Linked DNA regions of Notamacropus eugenii. The protein of the gene in region 2 interacts with the protein of the main gene of each other region in a pairwise test. Links are inferred from orthologs where the notes say so. Each region holds a gene or a part of one and is shown on either strand. Other genes may lie near its edges. The genes, in order: BATF3 and JUNB.

Region 1 (7,279 bases), on a different chromosome or scaffold from region 2:
ATACCCAAAAACTTTTGATAATAATGAAATGCACAAATGCAGGTTTTATTAGTCATTCTGTATGCCTCATACTTCCCTGTAACTTACATTGACATGTCAAATTCCATTAAAAATCCTCAATTTTATAAACTAAGATATGGCTATTTGAAACTTTAATAATCAGTCCTTTTCTTAGAAGATGACTGACTAAACCAATACATCTTGAAACTCTCTGGTGGTACACAATAGTACGTCAGTCAAATCCCTCAAAGCTTATCACAGAACAAACACTTAAAGCCAATTAATGTGAAATGCTGAATAGTCAAGTTGAAACAGAGATTTCACGACCTTGGGTCAAAAACACAACCTAGTAAAATAATGACTGGGCATTTGCTATGCTGGGGTTCATGGGAAGATACTTAAGAAAGAGAAGTTATGGTCTTCCCTGAAGAAGTTACCATCTAACAAGGAAAAAAGGACAAGGAATTGGACACACACACATTCACCCAAAAGAATAAGACCAGAAGACTCAGTGATTTTGTCAGCCTTCTGGGTTCCGAGCATTGGAACTTACACTACCTATAACAAAGATCTACATGTCAGTAGGTAATTAGTGGGAGTTCTCTAGGGCATAGAGCTTAAATGTCTTGCTTGGGGTCTCACAGATGCTAAGAGGGATTTAAACCCAGAATTTCTTGACTCATTGCTTAGTACTCAATCCACTCCAACACATGCACATACGTCCAGAAGAAAATGACTCTGTGCTAAAAAGATCTGAAGCAAGTCTGAGATGTTCTCCCCACATTGCTGCAGACAAGCTAGTATTGACTCCAGATTTCTTGAGTCAGGGTTCAAGTCTTATCTCTGACTATTCAGCTATGGACAACCTTTCGGTCCCTTCAGACCCCTCTCCAAGACTACAAAAGTCCCACATCTGCACTGGTAAAAGGAAATTCCTCGCCTGGAGTTTTCTAAACCAATGAAATCAATGGTATGAACAACAAAAAAGTCTATACTATGCTGCGCACACAATCATACCAGCTTATTCACTGTCATCACCATCACTCTAAATAACTTATTAAGAGGCAGCTAGCTGGTGCAGTGGATAGAGTGCTGGTTCTGGAGTCAGAAGAACCTGAGTTCAAATCTGTCCTCAGATACTTATTAGTTGTGTGATCCTGGGCAAGTCACTTAACCCCAGATTGCCTCCAAAAATAAAATAAACTCATTTATTAAAGCAAATAAGTGCTGATTTGAAGGGTTAATAAATGTCCCCTGAATTATATTGACCAGCATGATACATGAAAATAGCACTGGCTTGGGAATCAGGGGGCCTGGGTTTGAATCTTACCCCCAAACCCTCTATGCCTACTACTTGTGTTGGTAGGGAGTTAATATAAATTAAGTTACTTAATGAGCTTGGACTTTCTTATCTGTAAAATGAGCTCTAGCTCCCTTATTCAGAGCTGAGGGTATTCCACATTCTGACTGGGCTACTGTGATATTTGGGAACTTGGATTCAAGATATGCCTGCTACTTAAGTGTCCTCTCGCTAACTTCCGTTAGAGGCTGAATTTGAGCTCTGATTTCTAGTGGTCTTTTCACTTACTTCCCATGAAGGTGGCCAGATAAACAGGGTGTGTGCGTGTATCTGTGTGTGTGTGTGTCTGTGTCTGTGTCTGTGTCTGTGTGTCTGTGTGTGTGCGTGGGTGCGTGTGTGTGTTGAAGGGGATGAGGACCTGGACCACAGGGGAAAAAAGCTTGAGAGTTAGCTAATAATAATCACAATAATAGCTATCATTTAAAGCAATTTAAGGTTTGCAAAATATTTTACAAATATTATCTCCATTGGTTCTTTACAACAACCCTGGGAGGTAGGTGCTATTACTATTAATTATCCTTATTTTGCAGAGGAGGAAACTGAGGCAGGCAGAGATTAAGCGACTTGCCCAGCGTCACAAAACTAGTTAGCTGACCTAGTTGGTTGGTATTTCACGTGAAGCCTGCTGCTGGGGTTAGCATAGTGGATATGAAGAGGTACTGGGTCCAGCAACAAGGCACCTAGGTTCCAGGTGAGATCCTTCCAGGAATTTTATCGGCAAGGCATATCACTTATCCTTACTGGTACTGAGTGGTGTTGACTAAAGGACTTCTAAGGCGACTTTCTCCAGTCTGCGGAGTGCTTCCACTTTCCCCCGGCATTAGGACTAAGCCTCCATTCCCTAAGAGCAGTATTCTCTGAAGCTAGAGCAGGAGAGGAAGAAGGATGGGCAAGGGTGGAACCCCTCTCCCCAGCCCTCCATTCCTCCACTACTGGTCCTGAAAGTCCCCTTGCCCCTACGGCTGGGAGATGGGAAAGCAGGGACCCCGACTGAGCCCTGGCAAAGGGAAGGCCTTGGCGACTGGCCACAGAGCAGCTCCCGGAGTTGAGTTCCCACGTGCGAAGGCAGGACTCTCCCCAGCCAGACCGCCGGGCTCCGGTGCCCGAGCCCCGGGGGTAAAGTGACAGCTCAGGTGGCAGCCGCGAGCACTCCTCGGCCGCCGGGCTCCAGCCTGGTCATCGCCGCCAACCCCACGCTTGCTGCCCCAAGCCAGTGCCTCCTGCCCTGTCCCCGGCCCTCTCCGCCCAGTCCCTCCCCAGCACCGCAGCCTGGAGAGCTGCCGCGGCCGCAGGCACTTACTTTGGCTCTCCGAGCCTCTTCCCTCTCCCTCCCGCCTGCCCACCTCCCCTGGCTACCTGCGGCTGTGGCTGGTTCCCGCGGGCAGAGACGCTCCTCTGCAGGACGCTGCCAGTGTCCGGGAGCCCTTGCGACATGCCGGGAGCTCCGCTGCTCCCGACCCGCCCCCGGCAGGGCAGCGCGGCGCAGCCTCCGGGGGAGGAGCAGCCAGCCCGGCCCGCCGCGCCCCTTCCCAGCCTACGGAGATTCTCCGGCCGCGGGCATCCTTCGCGCCAGCGCACCTGGCCCTGCTCTGGAGCAAGCCGACTTTTCCCTCCTCCCTTCTCTTCCCGGGCCAGACTGGAGGCACACCTCCTCCTCCCCCTCGGGCTGCCAGATCTCACTCTCACTCTACTCTCCCTCTTCCTTCCGCTGCAGGTCTTTCTCTCTTCCCCACCCCCCTGCCCAGCTCCCGATCACAACCCCTTCCCCAAATTCTGATCCCTTGGGATCCCGCCCCTCTCCGCCCTGTCCAAGTGCTGATTTACTTCCTTACCCTCCCTGACTTAGTCCCCAACTCCACGAAGATTCCCCATCCCGAGGTCCCATTGGCAGAGTCCCGCCCCAACCCCCCTCTCCGCCTCGCAGGCATTTCGTCTGGGGGGGCCCCCGGCTTAATGGAAATCACGTGTTGGTCTTCGAAACTTGGGAGGGAACTCGAGACCACAAGGTGGGGTTATTTGAGAAGGGGGTAGGAGTAAGGAAACTAGAGCATAGGACTTTTAGAGACCCTCAGCTCTCAGACGTAGATAAAAACAAGTGGGTGGTTTGGAGTTGGAGGGTTTTTTTGTTGGTTTTTTTCCCCCAAGTATCATCACAAAAATTTCACATCAGTTTCACCCCTTCACCCTTTGCCAGTTTTGAAGAGACTGGGGACTTCAGAGGGAACTGACAGTCATCTCTGCCCTCGGGGTGTATTTGCTCCTCCCTAATTTAAGGATCCCAGTGACCCAGCTCTCCATTCTTCCTCTTCCTTTTCCCCTTTTTGCCAATCTCTCTGAGCTTGGACCAAGCCACAGCTTTGCAAGACACCTTCTTTCAGTCTAGCCTGGGTCCCCTTGAAAATCTGCAAAAAGAGAATTACGTTTTTAAGTAAAGGATGGAAAGCAAGGGGGATGGAGGCGGGGATGCTGCCCTCTATTCCCAGACTTTCGATGCCATCCCCATTCTCCTTCGTGCTTTCTCTCCCAGATCGCATCACAGTCCATTTTGGGCTTCTAACGCTACCAGAAGAGTCTGTCCATCCTTTCTTTTTCCTCACCTTAGCGCTTGCTCTGTATCAAGGCTGGAGGAGAAGGAGGGGTGGCTGATTTGCGGAGATGTAACCGGCTCAGTGTATCCACTAACAGGTTAAAGGAACTCCACACATTCAACAGGCTAGAATTCTTTTTCCTCAGGCTTTCATTGACTGGATCTCTTAGTAACGGGATTTCGGTTCATTTTAAACCAGAAGAGGAAGAAATAGTTTTACAGGCTTCTCTCTGACCGTTTTCTCCTTGGTCTCTTCCCCTACCCTACAACTCACATCTTTAGCTTCAAGAAGGCCAAGAAATTTATCCCAGCAAAGGAGAAATGTTCAACTGGTTACACAGCCGGTCTGTGTCCTGTGGCCTATCTATGCCCACTTGAGTATAAGGAAGGAATGTTTGAAAATGTCCAAAGAGCTGCGAAGTATGCCTGTAAAACTGAATGTGACTCTGCAGGTCCACTAAGTTACCAAATGAGGTCAGAAAACTGGCAATACGTGCAGTGTTTGGGGTTTGTCATATGTGTGTATGTATGATGTGTATGTATATTTATAAATGTTTAGATATTTATATGCACATAAATGAATGTGTATATATCTATACACAGACATACATACACACCTATATGTACACATACATATACATCCATACATATACACGAACACATTATATCTACAATATTTACATATGTGTATATCACATTTACAGGTATGTATAGGTGTATTATATAAAGATATGTAGGCATGTCAGTGTATATATATACATATACCTTTAAGCATATGATGAACAGAAGGAAAGAGGCCAAGAGAAGTGGAGAAGACAGGAGATTTTTAGAGTTGGATCATCTTGGTATAATGGAAAGAATACTGAATTTAGAATCAGAGGATCTGGGTTGAAATTCTGGCTTTTTCCACTTAGTACCTGTGTGATCTTTGGTCTGAAAATGAGGTGGTTGGACTGGGAATTTTAAGGACCCTTTGAGCCCTAAAGCTAATGCAACTCTAATTTTACAGATGAGGAAACTGAGGCATGAGAATTTAAGCGAATCGTTTACCATCACATAATTAGTATCAGAATCCGAACTAGAATTTGGCCTCCTGATTTCCTGGTCAGTGTTTTCCTCCGTACAACAAAATTCTCTGATTAGTTTCTAAAATACAGATTCAAATAAATAAACCACAGAATGAGTATTCAATAGGCTTTTTTGGCTAGTATATAGACTTGTCTAACTAAGACAGATCAGAAATAGGGATGAGAAAGTTTAGTTTTTATAAGGCATTGTCTCAACTGAAAGAACATGGGCAGAACTAAAAACTGACTGTGGAAAAGATTCTAGAACTGTTAGTGTTTTCTTCCACAGCTCTATTATCTCCATGTGTCTTTTTCAAAAATGAAGTGATATTTGCTTTTAATAATAATAATAATAACACTTTACCGACACTATGTTTAAGCCTCATGACAATCCTGTGAGATTAGTACTACGGGAATACTAAGAAAGTAAAAAATACAAAAAGAGTCCCTACCCTTACAAAGCTCACATTGCAAGAAAGGAGACAACAAGGAAATGAATGAGCAATACAAGATCCATACAGAGCCAAAGGAAGGGAACCTAGGAAGGGAAAGCTCAAGCAGATGGAGAAAGACCCTATTACAAAAGGTTGTCTGAGTCTTGAGAAGAACTAAGGATGCTGAGACACAGACCTGAAGAGAGAAATCATTCCAGGCCCAGGCGACAGACAGGGACAAGGAGACTGGAGATCCAGTGTCATGTTCAAGGAACAGTTAAGTAGGCTGGTATTGTTTAAACTTAGTGTTCATGGAAAGGATTAAAGTTAGAAGACTGAAAAGGTAGCAAGGCATCAGGTTGCAAAGTGCCTTAAATACTAGAAGGTTTTCTACTGAATCCTAGAAGTAATAAGGTACAATTGGAGTTTATTGTTGGAAAGAGGTGGGGTGAAGAAGGGACCTGTTGTTTAGTCATTTCAGTCCTGTCCGACTCTTTGTGGCCCTATTTGGGGTTTTCTTGGCAAAGATACTGGAGTTCTTTGCCTTTTCCTTCTCATTTTACAGATAAGGAAACTTAGGCAAATGGGGTTTAAAAGTCTTGCCTAGGGTCACACAGCTAGTAAATGTCTGAGGCCAGATTTGCACTCAGGGAGATGAGTCTTCTTGACTCCAAGCTTGGCATTCTATCTACTGTGCTACCTAGCTATCCCCAAAGCGACATGAGCAGTGATTTAGGAAAATCACTTTGGCAGCTGTATGTATGATGGATTGGAGAGAGGAGAGAACTGAAGAAGGGAAAATGATTAGAAGGCCATTGTAATAGCCTACAAAAGAAGTAATGAGTGCCTAAATTAGGGTGGTGGTGTATAAATGACCAGAAGGGAACATCAGAGATGTTGAGAAGGCAGAAGGGACATGATTCGGCACCTTAGGTTGAGAACCGGAGTTGAGAACTATGATGATAGGGGTGCCCTTAACAGGAAAATATGGACAAGAGGAGGGCTTGGAGGGAAGATTGTGAATTTTGCTATGGACATGTTTGAGTTTGAAAGATGTACTAGATATTCAGCTCAACATGTTGGTAGGTTATTGGAAATATAGGATGGGAGCTCAGAAGATAGGCCTGAATATATAGAGTTGGCAGCCATAAGCATAGAGATGGTAACTGAATCCATGGGAGCTGATGAGATCACTAAGTGAAACAGGAGAAAGGAAGAAGAAAAGAGGGCCCAGGACAGAGCCTTGGAGACACATATAGGAGGAAAACCAAGAGACAATAATGACCCAAAACCCACAGAGGAGAGAGTATCCAGGAAGAGGTAACCAAGAGATCCAAATATTGTGAAGAGGATGAACAATGAGAAAAATCAGGTCTTATCTGACTCCTCAGTTCAGAACTTTTCTTGCCCTGAGCAGATTGAGTTATATTGAGTTACTTTGTCACATATGGTCCCAATTCTTTTGTAACTCTTCTTCCCCTACTTCCCTTCTCCTGACCCTCATTCATGGTCCCCTTCTTCCTGCTTTGTAATTATGAGTTACGTAATTGTTTCTTTTGTGTATGTTTGCTTGTCTCTCCCTTAGATTGTGAGTTCCTTGAGGGCGGGGACTGTCTTTTGCCTCTTTTTATCATCTCCAGTTCTTAACACAGTGCCTGGCATATAGCAGGTATTTAATAAATGTTTATTGATTGAATTATATTCTGTCTCCCACAATGAAATAGCAAACTCCCTGTTTCTTTTGTAGCCCTTCAATGGGTACACCATATATGCTTGTGGAAAAAAAAAATAATCATATTGTAGTGGAAAGAACCCTGGACTGAAGTTTGAA
Region 2 (7,360 bases):
TCTCCCTCCCTTTCTCTGTCTAAGTCTGTTTCTCTCTCCCTCTTTCTCTTCCTATCTTTATATCTGTGTCTACTTCTGTCTGTAGATCTCAGTCTTTCAGTCCTTTTTCCCTGTTTCCCATCCCTTCAACCTGATATCTATCTCTTTAGCTGACCAAGGCTTGCTGTGGGAGCTGAGTCACCAAAGCCTCTGGGTCCCTGCCCACTCCTGGCCCTGGCTTGGGGGGGTGGGGTTGAACTTCTGGGAGCAGTGGGTGGATGTTGTATGAAGAAGGGGGGCTGGGATAGCCAGTGAATGAGAGTCTGTACCCCTCCCCCAGCAGTTATCTTACCCATTCTCTGTTGTTTCCCTCTACCCCCCCTCCCCTCCCTTATGGGAAAGCCCCTGTAGAGGCCCTGGCCTCCCCCAGCCCAATGGTCTTGCCAGGTGTCAGTCAGGGAGTCATTAGCATGGGCGGGAGACAGGGAGATTGGCATAGTGCCGGCCAGACAGAGCCCAGTTCCCTCCCCACACACATACACATACTATTCTCATACTTACTCCATCCCTCTTGACTGGTCAGTTACAGCCTGGAATATATCTCAGAAGATAGAGACCAGGATGATGGAGGGAACAGAGAAAGGGACCAAGTTGGGGAGAGCAGGGGACGGGGAAAGTGGTGAAGGAGGGACGAACATGAGGCATTGGGCAGGGGTTCAGGTTAAGGAAAAAGAAGAAACATGGTGGTAACCCTGGGGATAAGCAGATACCTAGACCAGACAGAGAGGTTGGGGGTTCAAAGTTGAGGATAGTGTCCTTGTCATGTTTCCTAATCTTCCTCATTGGGGCAGCTAGGTGGTGCAGTAGATAGAGCACCAGTGCAGGAGTCAGGAGGACCTGAGTTCAAATCTCACTTCAGACACTTGACACTCACTAGCTGTGTGACCTTGGGCAAGTCACTTAACCCCAATTGCCTTGTCGTGGGTCATCTCCAGTCATCTTGATGAATATCTGGTCACTGGATTCAGATGGCTCTGGAGGAGAAGTAAGGCACAGCTCTCCCTCACTCAAAACAAAGTCAAGTGCAAGTCATGTCATTATTTCTCTGATGGCATGGTCTTCTTCAGCAACCAAGGATGAACACAGCCTTCCTCATTATATCCCCCTGTCTCCCTCTCCCACCATCTCCACTCGCTCCTCTATTCATCTGTAATTTTTTTATCCTCTCTTCAACTCTATCTGTCTGTATAGCTATCTGGCTCACTTAGTCTCAGTTTCTCTTTCCCTTCTTTCATTTTCTTACTCCACACACAAGCAACCTTCTGCCTTTGGTTCCTCTGTCTGCCTGCATCTCTACCTCTCACTGTTTCTCTTTCCATCTGTCTTTCTCTTTCTGTGTACTCCATCCCTCCCTCCCCCCTCTCCCTTTCTCTCTGTCCCTCTGTTTCTGTCTCTCTTACTTTCTATGTCTCTCTCTATTCCTCACTTTTCTGTTTTTGTATATAATCAGAAATAGATTATCTAACCCAACTCTTTACAAATGAGGAAATTGAGGTCCACAGAAGGAGTCATTTGACCGATGCAGAAGCCGCATCTTTGTCTCTGTTTAGTGTCAGGATTGTAAAGAGATCACGTTGTGCAGACCCTTATAAAGTAATTATAGATGGGTTAATCAGGACCCTGAGAGTGTCTTATACTAGTAAGTGGCAGAAATGGGACTAAAACGCAAATGTCCTGAATGTGATTCAAGTTCCTCACCTTGTAGAAGTACTCCCTGTGTAAAAGTGGGGGCTGGACAGCTCCCTCCAAAGTTACCTTAGCCATCCCCTGGCTGCAGCTCTGGGCCTCTCTGGAAGGGAAGTGAGACTTCCTTTTTGTTCCAGACACACACCCTGGCAGCTGGGAAGTCCCACCTCTGGTCTGACACGAAGCCTCACCATCCTATTTCTACCCAATAATCTCAGCTGTCCTGTGAAATGGGAACTGTCACTCAGTCCCTCTTTCCCACCTTGGGCCCTAGGCTCCTCCGCCACGCCAGCGCCCCGGACCTTGTCCTCCTGGCTGCTTTGCTCCCTTCCCACTCACTCCAACCTCCGCCCCAGGATGGGGTGAAGTCTGGCCCAAGTCTTCCTGGGCTCCCCTGGGATCCTGCCTCAGGGCAGGGGGACAGGACTTGGGTGGGGTGAGGCAGGACAAAGCTGGAGGCCCAGGGGCGGGTGAGATGGGGGGGTGCTGTACGGAGGCGGTGGCCGGGGCTGGTTGGAACTAGCCAGAGAGGGGCCCGGCTTGGCCCCTCCTTAGGACCTGGCAGGAACCGGGTCTCTGGGCTCGGGGCCCCGCCCCTTCCTGTGACCTTATTTGGACTTAGGGCTGAAACTGGGAAGGCGGGACCAGAGTCTGAATCGGGGGAGGGGGACAGGATCCTGGAGGACCGGAGGGGCAGAGATCCAGAGTTTGAGAGCCGGAGCTTGAAGTACAGGGGACTGGAGTTTGAATCTGGCAGGGAAAGGACTTAGGATGCTGGGGGAAAAGGGGTAGGGGATGAATCTGACCCGGAGAGGACCAGAGGAGGCCGAAGAGAGTTCTATGGGGCACCATGGGGTAGAGATTCCAAGGCAGGAGTCCTGGGGGCGGGTGCTCAGGATGCTGCAGAGTGGGATTTGGGGGACAAAGGTTCAGAGGCTGAAGAGTTCTGAAATGGAAGAGTCTCGGGGAACTGGAGAGGAGATCTGGATGAGCAGGAAGAATAACAGAGGTTTAACCAAGAAGGTCAGGAATCTGGAGGGGCAGGAGTATCTCAGGCCTCATTCAACTCTCAGACTGGGAGCCAGGGGCAGGCAATATCCTAGAGCCCCCTTCGGTTACTATGGAGACAATGACAAGAGCTCCACCACCCTGCCCCCATCTCCTTTTCTACGGTATTGTATCACTCCAATTAGGGCTGTATTGGGAACCCCCTTAAAGGGATTCTCTGACTATAGAGGACATTTAGGGTTCCTCTTCCCATTCTCTGGCCCTATTTCCACCCGTGACTTCAGAGACTTGCTGAGGCTTAGGGGAGGGGAGCATTCTCACAGGTAAATTAAACTCAGCAATCCATTCTGGCCTTCCCCTCCTCCCTCAAACCAGCCAATGGTGCAGGAAACCAGGGATGAAGACAAAAAACCGTTAGGTAGCACCCCCTCTTCCCCAAAGTCCAGACCTCCTGCATGTCTCCATCCCCACCAGACTCCTGGACATCTTAGAAATACCCAGAGGAGTCCAACTTTTGGGAATGCTTAAGAGAAAGGTCTCACTGACTTCCAGAGGCAGGCCTGGATCTGTTCCTGTTGGGGAAGAAAGGTGGTTCTATACCTGTCCCTGCTTTGGGGGAACAGTTCCAGAGGCCAGGCACATACCTGCTCCCCTAGGTCCTGTCGAGTCCCAGTTCCTCATACCCATTGCCACATTTCCGTCAGATCTTTCTTAAGCAGGTTTCTAGGGAAGTCAGGGATTGGAGGCACCCAGGGGAGTTCTCCCGGATACCAACCCAGATCCCAAGGGGGAGGGAAAAGGGCCCTAGGCTTGAAGTCAGGAAACCTGCTCTAGATTGGTCTCTGCTTCTTACTACCTTTGGGCCTTCCTCCTTGTAGAATAAGGGAGCTGCCCCATCATATTTCTAAGATACCTTCTAACTGCTAATCTGTGATTCCATGGGTGTGCCAGCTCCCCATAGACTGGGAGAGGAACCTAGGCGTTCTGCCCTTCCCTCTCAGACCGCCTTTTAGGGGAGCAAGAGAGACTGGGATTGGGGGCTAAGAGGAGTAAAGAGGCACTGGAGCTCCTGGTTCATCGATAACCTATGCCACACCCTCCCATCCGCCGGCTTCCCAGTTCTAGGTACTCGGTACCCTTCTAATAGACAGCGAGTAGGGAGGGGTCTTTAGTCTCTGAGAGTGGGGTATGTGAGGGTCAGACAGGGTCCGAGTAGGTTGCAGACACTGCGTGTATAGGTCGGAGGTGTAGTAGGGAGTGGGGAGTTTCGAGGTGTCCGAGTCTTCGTAAAAGGGTCGGTGGATTCCCGTGGGGATTTGTCACAGCAGCTTCTGGGGCTCAATCGCCCCCATCCCCGGGTTGGTCTTAGGATCCCCTGTCTCTTATCTCAGGTCCCCCTCTTCCCTGATCTGTCTTCCAGGCCCAGTCTCTCGGCCTCTCGCGAGCCAGCCCCCTACTCCGGCCCCCAGTTTCCCTGTCTCCCTTGCCCATCCCAGTACCATCCCAGCCCAGCCCTGTCCTTGCCCGGCCCTGTCCCGCCGCCGCTGCTGTTTACAAGGACACGCGCTTCCTGGCAGTGACGCCAGTCTCCTCCTCCCCTTCCCCACGCCGAGCCCGGGCATACTGGGCGGGGAGGGGAAGAGTGGGGTGCGGGAGGAGGCGGGGGCCTGGTTCCCCTGCACAACCAATCAGGGATCGCTTACGCAGCCACCGCCGTATAAAGGCTCTGGGGTACGCAGCGAGGCCGGCAAAGAAGCGGGGAGTCCGAAGGCTGTGGGCTGGGAATGCGAGCTTGAGAACAGCAGGCAGCCATAGAGCCTTGATCGCCCGAGCCAGCTAACAGGGCGCGGCGCAAAGAAGACCAACTGAACCAGGCCAGGACTTGGACTCCTGCTGTCAGATCTGCCTCGCTAACACAAGATCCTTGCCACTGTTTTCTGGAGACTTGAAGGGGTGGGGACGGTCACAGAAGACTGAGTCCGGGAAGAGTGGGGCACAGCAGGGGAACTCAGGTTTAGCATCGAGGTGCGTTCCGGAAGCCAGAAGCGGCTGGTCTGACCCGAGCCTCCCAAAGCGTGCCCCGAGGGCATTCAGGCATTGGAGCTCGAGTGCCTCAGGGGTCTCCTCCTCTCGGCAGAGGGGAGCGCCGGGAGCTACGAGCTGGGCGCGCGGGCGCCTGGATGTGCACTAAGATGGAGCAACCTTTCTACCACGATGATTCGTACCCGGCGGCAGCTTATGGCCGGGGAGGTGCCGCTGCACTGGGACTGCATGATTACAAGCTGCTGAAACAGAATCTGGCACTCAATCTTGCCGCTGCCGCTGACCCTTACCGCGGCCTCAAGGCGCCAGGGCATGGTCGGGGACCGGGACCAGAGGACGCGAGTGGTGCCTACTTTTCAGGACCGCCACCTCCCCCTCAGAACGAGGCCTCTGCTGGGCCGGCGGGCTCGTTAAAGCTCGCGTCTCCCGAGCTGGAGCGCCTCATAGCGCAGAACAGCAATGGGCTCATCACCACAACGCCCACGCCGCCGGGCCAGTACTTCTACTCGCGCAGTGTGACGGAGGAGCAGGAGGGTTTCGCAGATGGCTTCGTCAAAGCGCTTGACGACCTGCACAAGATGAACCACGTGACGCCCCCCAACGTGTCACTGAGCAGCAGCAGTGGCAGCTCCGGAACCGCAGGGCCCCCAGCTCCCCCTAGTAGCGTTTATGGTCCCTCAGCCCTGGGCCCCGAACCACCTCCTGTCTACACCAACCTCACTAGTTACAGCTCCAGTGGTGGTAGTGGGGGCGCGGGCGCAGGGGCCGCGGGCGGCTACCCTACTGCCACAATCAGCTACCTCCCCCACGGACCGCCCTTCCCCGGGGGCCACCCGGCAGCAGTGGGGTTGAGCGCCCGGGCTGCGGGAGGCGCAGGGCCGCTGGCGGCCTTTAAGGAGGAACCACAGACAGTGCCCGAGGCGCGCAGCAGGGACGGGACACCACCCGTGTCGCCCATCAATATGGAGGACCAGGAGCGCATCAAAGTGGAGAGGAAACGACTGCGGAACCGGCTGGCGGCCACCAAGTGCCGCAAACGGAAGCTGGAGCGCATCGCGCGACTCGAGGACAAGGTGAAGACCCTCAAGTCCGAAAACGCTGGGCTGTCGAACACGGCTAGTGTGCTCCGTGAACAGGTGGCGCAGCTCAAGCAGAAGGTGCTGAGCCACGTCAACAGCGGCTGCCAGCTGCTGCTGGCCGTCAAGATGCAGAACTTCTGAGCCCACGCGCGGCCCGCCCACGGACCCGGCTGCGTGACTGACTCTCCCCCTCACGCCCCCGCCGCGCGTGATTCTGCCCGGGTATGGGCGGGCCGCAGACTCTGAGACGCGGGAGGAGGGCAGGGCCACCTGGAGGGCACTGGACTAGACGGAGGGGCCCCGCCCAGCGCGCCTGTCGGCTCGCTCTCTTTCTTCCCCACTCACCCACTAGTTCCAATCTCGAAGTTTACAAGCCTCACCTTGACCTGGGCCCCCACGCCTCTGGGCGACCCTCTGTACTCCCTGTTTTGTACGGTTTTTTTTTTCTGCAGGAAACAGACACGATTCATATTGAATATAATATATTTGTGTATTTAAGAAAGAAGTTCTATCCCCGCGGCGGAGCTGGCCCCGCTGCCTACACACGGCCCGCGCGGTGGCGGGTAGGAGCCCCTAGGAAGGGGTGCTCTCAGCCTGCCACCTTGCCTGCCCTGAGGGTTCCATCGGGTTGTGTCTCCCGGAGCACTTGAGTTTTAAAGTTTATTTTATCATTTTTGTGTGTGTTTTTGTTGTTCTGACTTTTTATTGAATTTATTTAAGTAAAAAAAAAAAGACTGTTTATTATTTATTACTCCTTGGCGTCTTAATGGAAAGATGGGGGAGGGAATGCGGCTGGGGAGGGAAGGCTAATTTGAACCTTAAACCTGGTTCAGCACCTAATTTTTTGCTGGCTGCCTTCTGAGCCTGCCTATAATGGTTGTTTCTGTCCCTATCCCTGTTTATCATCTATCCTATCTATCTATCTCTCCATCTGTCTATCCATCTATCCATCTATGTTCTAGGAGTCTGGCTCTTTCCTATCACTGTCCCTTATATATCTAGTTCCCTTTTCTTTATGTCCCTGTTTCTCAGTCTCTAGCGTCTTAGTGTGTCTCTCCAGTCAGTTTCTGTTTCTAGACTCTTATATTAACAATCTCTTCGTGATTCGGTTCCTGCCGTCTGTGGCCCCGGGCGTCTTAGCCTGGAGGGACAAGCTGTGACGTCGCTGGGGCTTTTTCTCGCTTTGAGGCTGGACCCAAACCTTTCTTTGGCGGAGAAAAAGACCCTAGAGGAGTGTTAGAGTCGGCCTTTGGCTGCGCAAGCGCGGTTCCTCGCGCTAGGGGGCTTTTCCCGGTGACGCACAGGAAGCCATGCCCATATACGGACCGTTTCTGCCCAGTGACGCGCCGGCGGTCAGGCCTATTCCGGGAATCCCCTCCCACGTTGCCCGGCTGACCCTGAGCACCGGGAAGAGGGGCTGGGATTTTCCCAGAGCAAGAAGTGGGGCGGCGGCCCAGCCCCGGCCCAGGCCCAGGCCAGGAAACCCCCCTCCCCTGCGGCAATAG

What was found.
Region 1: the proteins of JUNB (region 2) and BATF3 interact in binary tests that used the Homo sapiens proteins (3 or more experiments, as listed by UniProt). The link is inferred for Notamacropus eugenii from reciprocal best matches to the Homo sapiens genes JUNB and BATF3.

Annotation. Positions count from the first base shown.
Region 1 is NC_092873.1:425,465,070-425,472,348, reverse strand, and holds the start of BATF3 (basic leucine zipper transcriptional factor ATF-like 3), read right to left. Parts: upstream 3,016-7,279; 5' UTR 2,795-3,015; coding exon 2,717-2,794; intron 1-2,716. UniProt on the Homo sapiens protein: AP-1 family transcription factor that controls the differentiation of CD8(+) thymic conventional dendritic cells in the immune system.
Region 2 is NC_092875.1:78,133,672-78,141,031, reverse strand, and holds JUNB (transcription factor JunB), read left to right. Parts: upstream 1-4,485; 5' UTR 4,486-4,913; coding exon 4,914-5,996; 3' UTR 5,997-6,599; downstream 6,600-7,360. UniProt on the Homo sapiens protein: Transcription factor involved in regulating gene activity following the primary growth factor response. Binds to the DNA sequence 5'-TGA[GC]TCA-3'.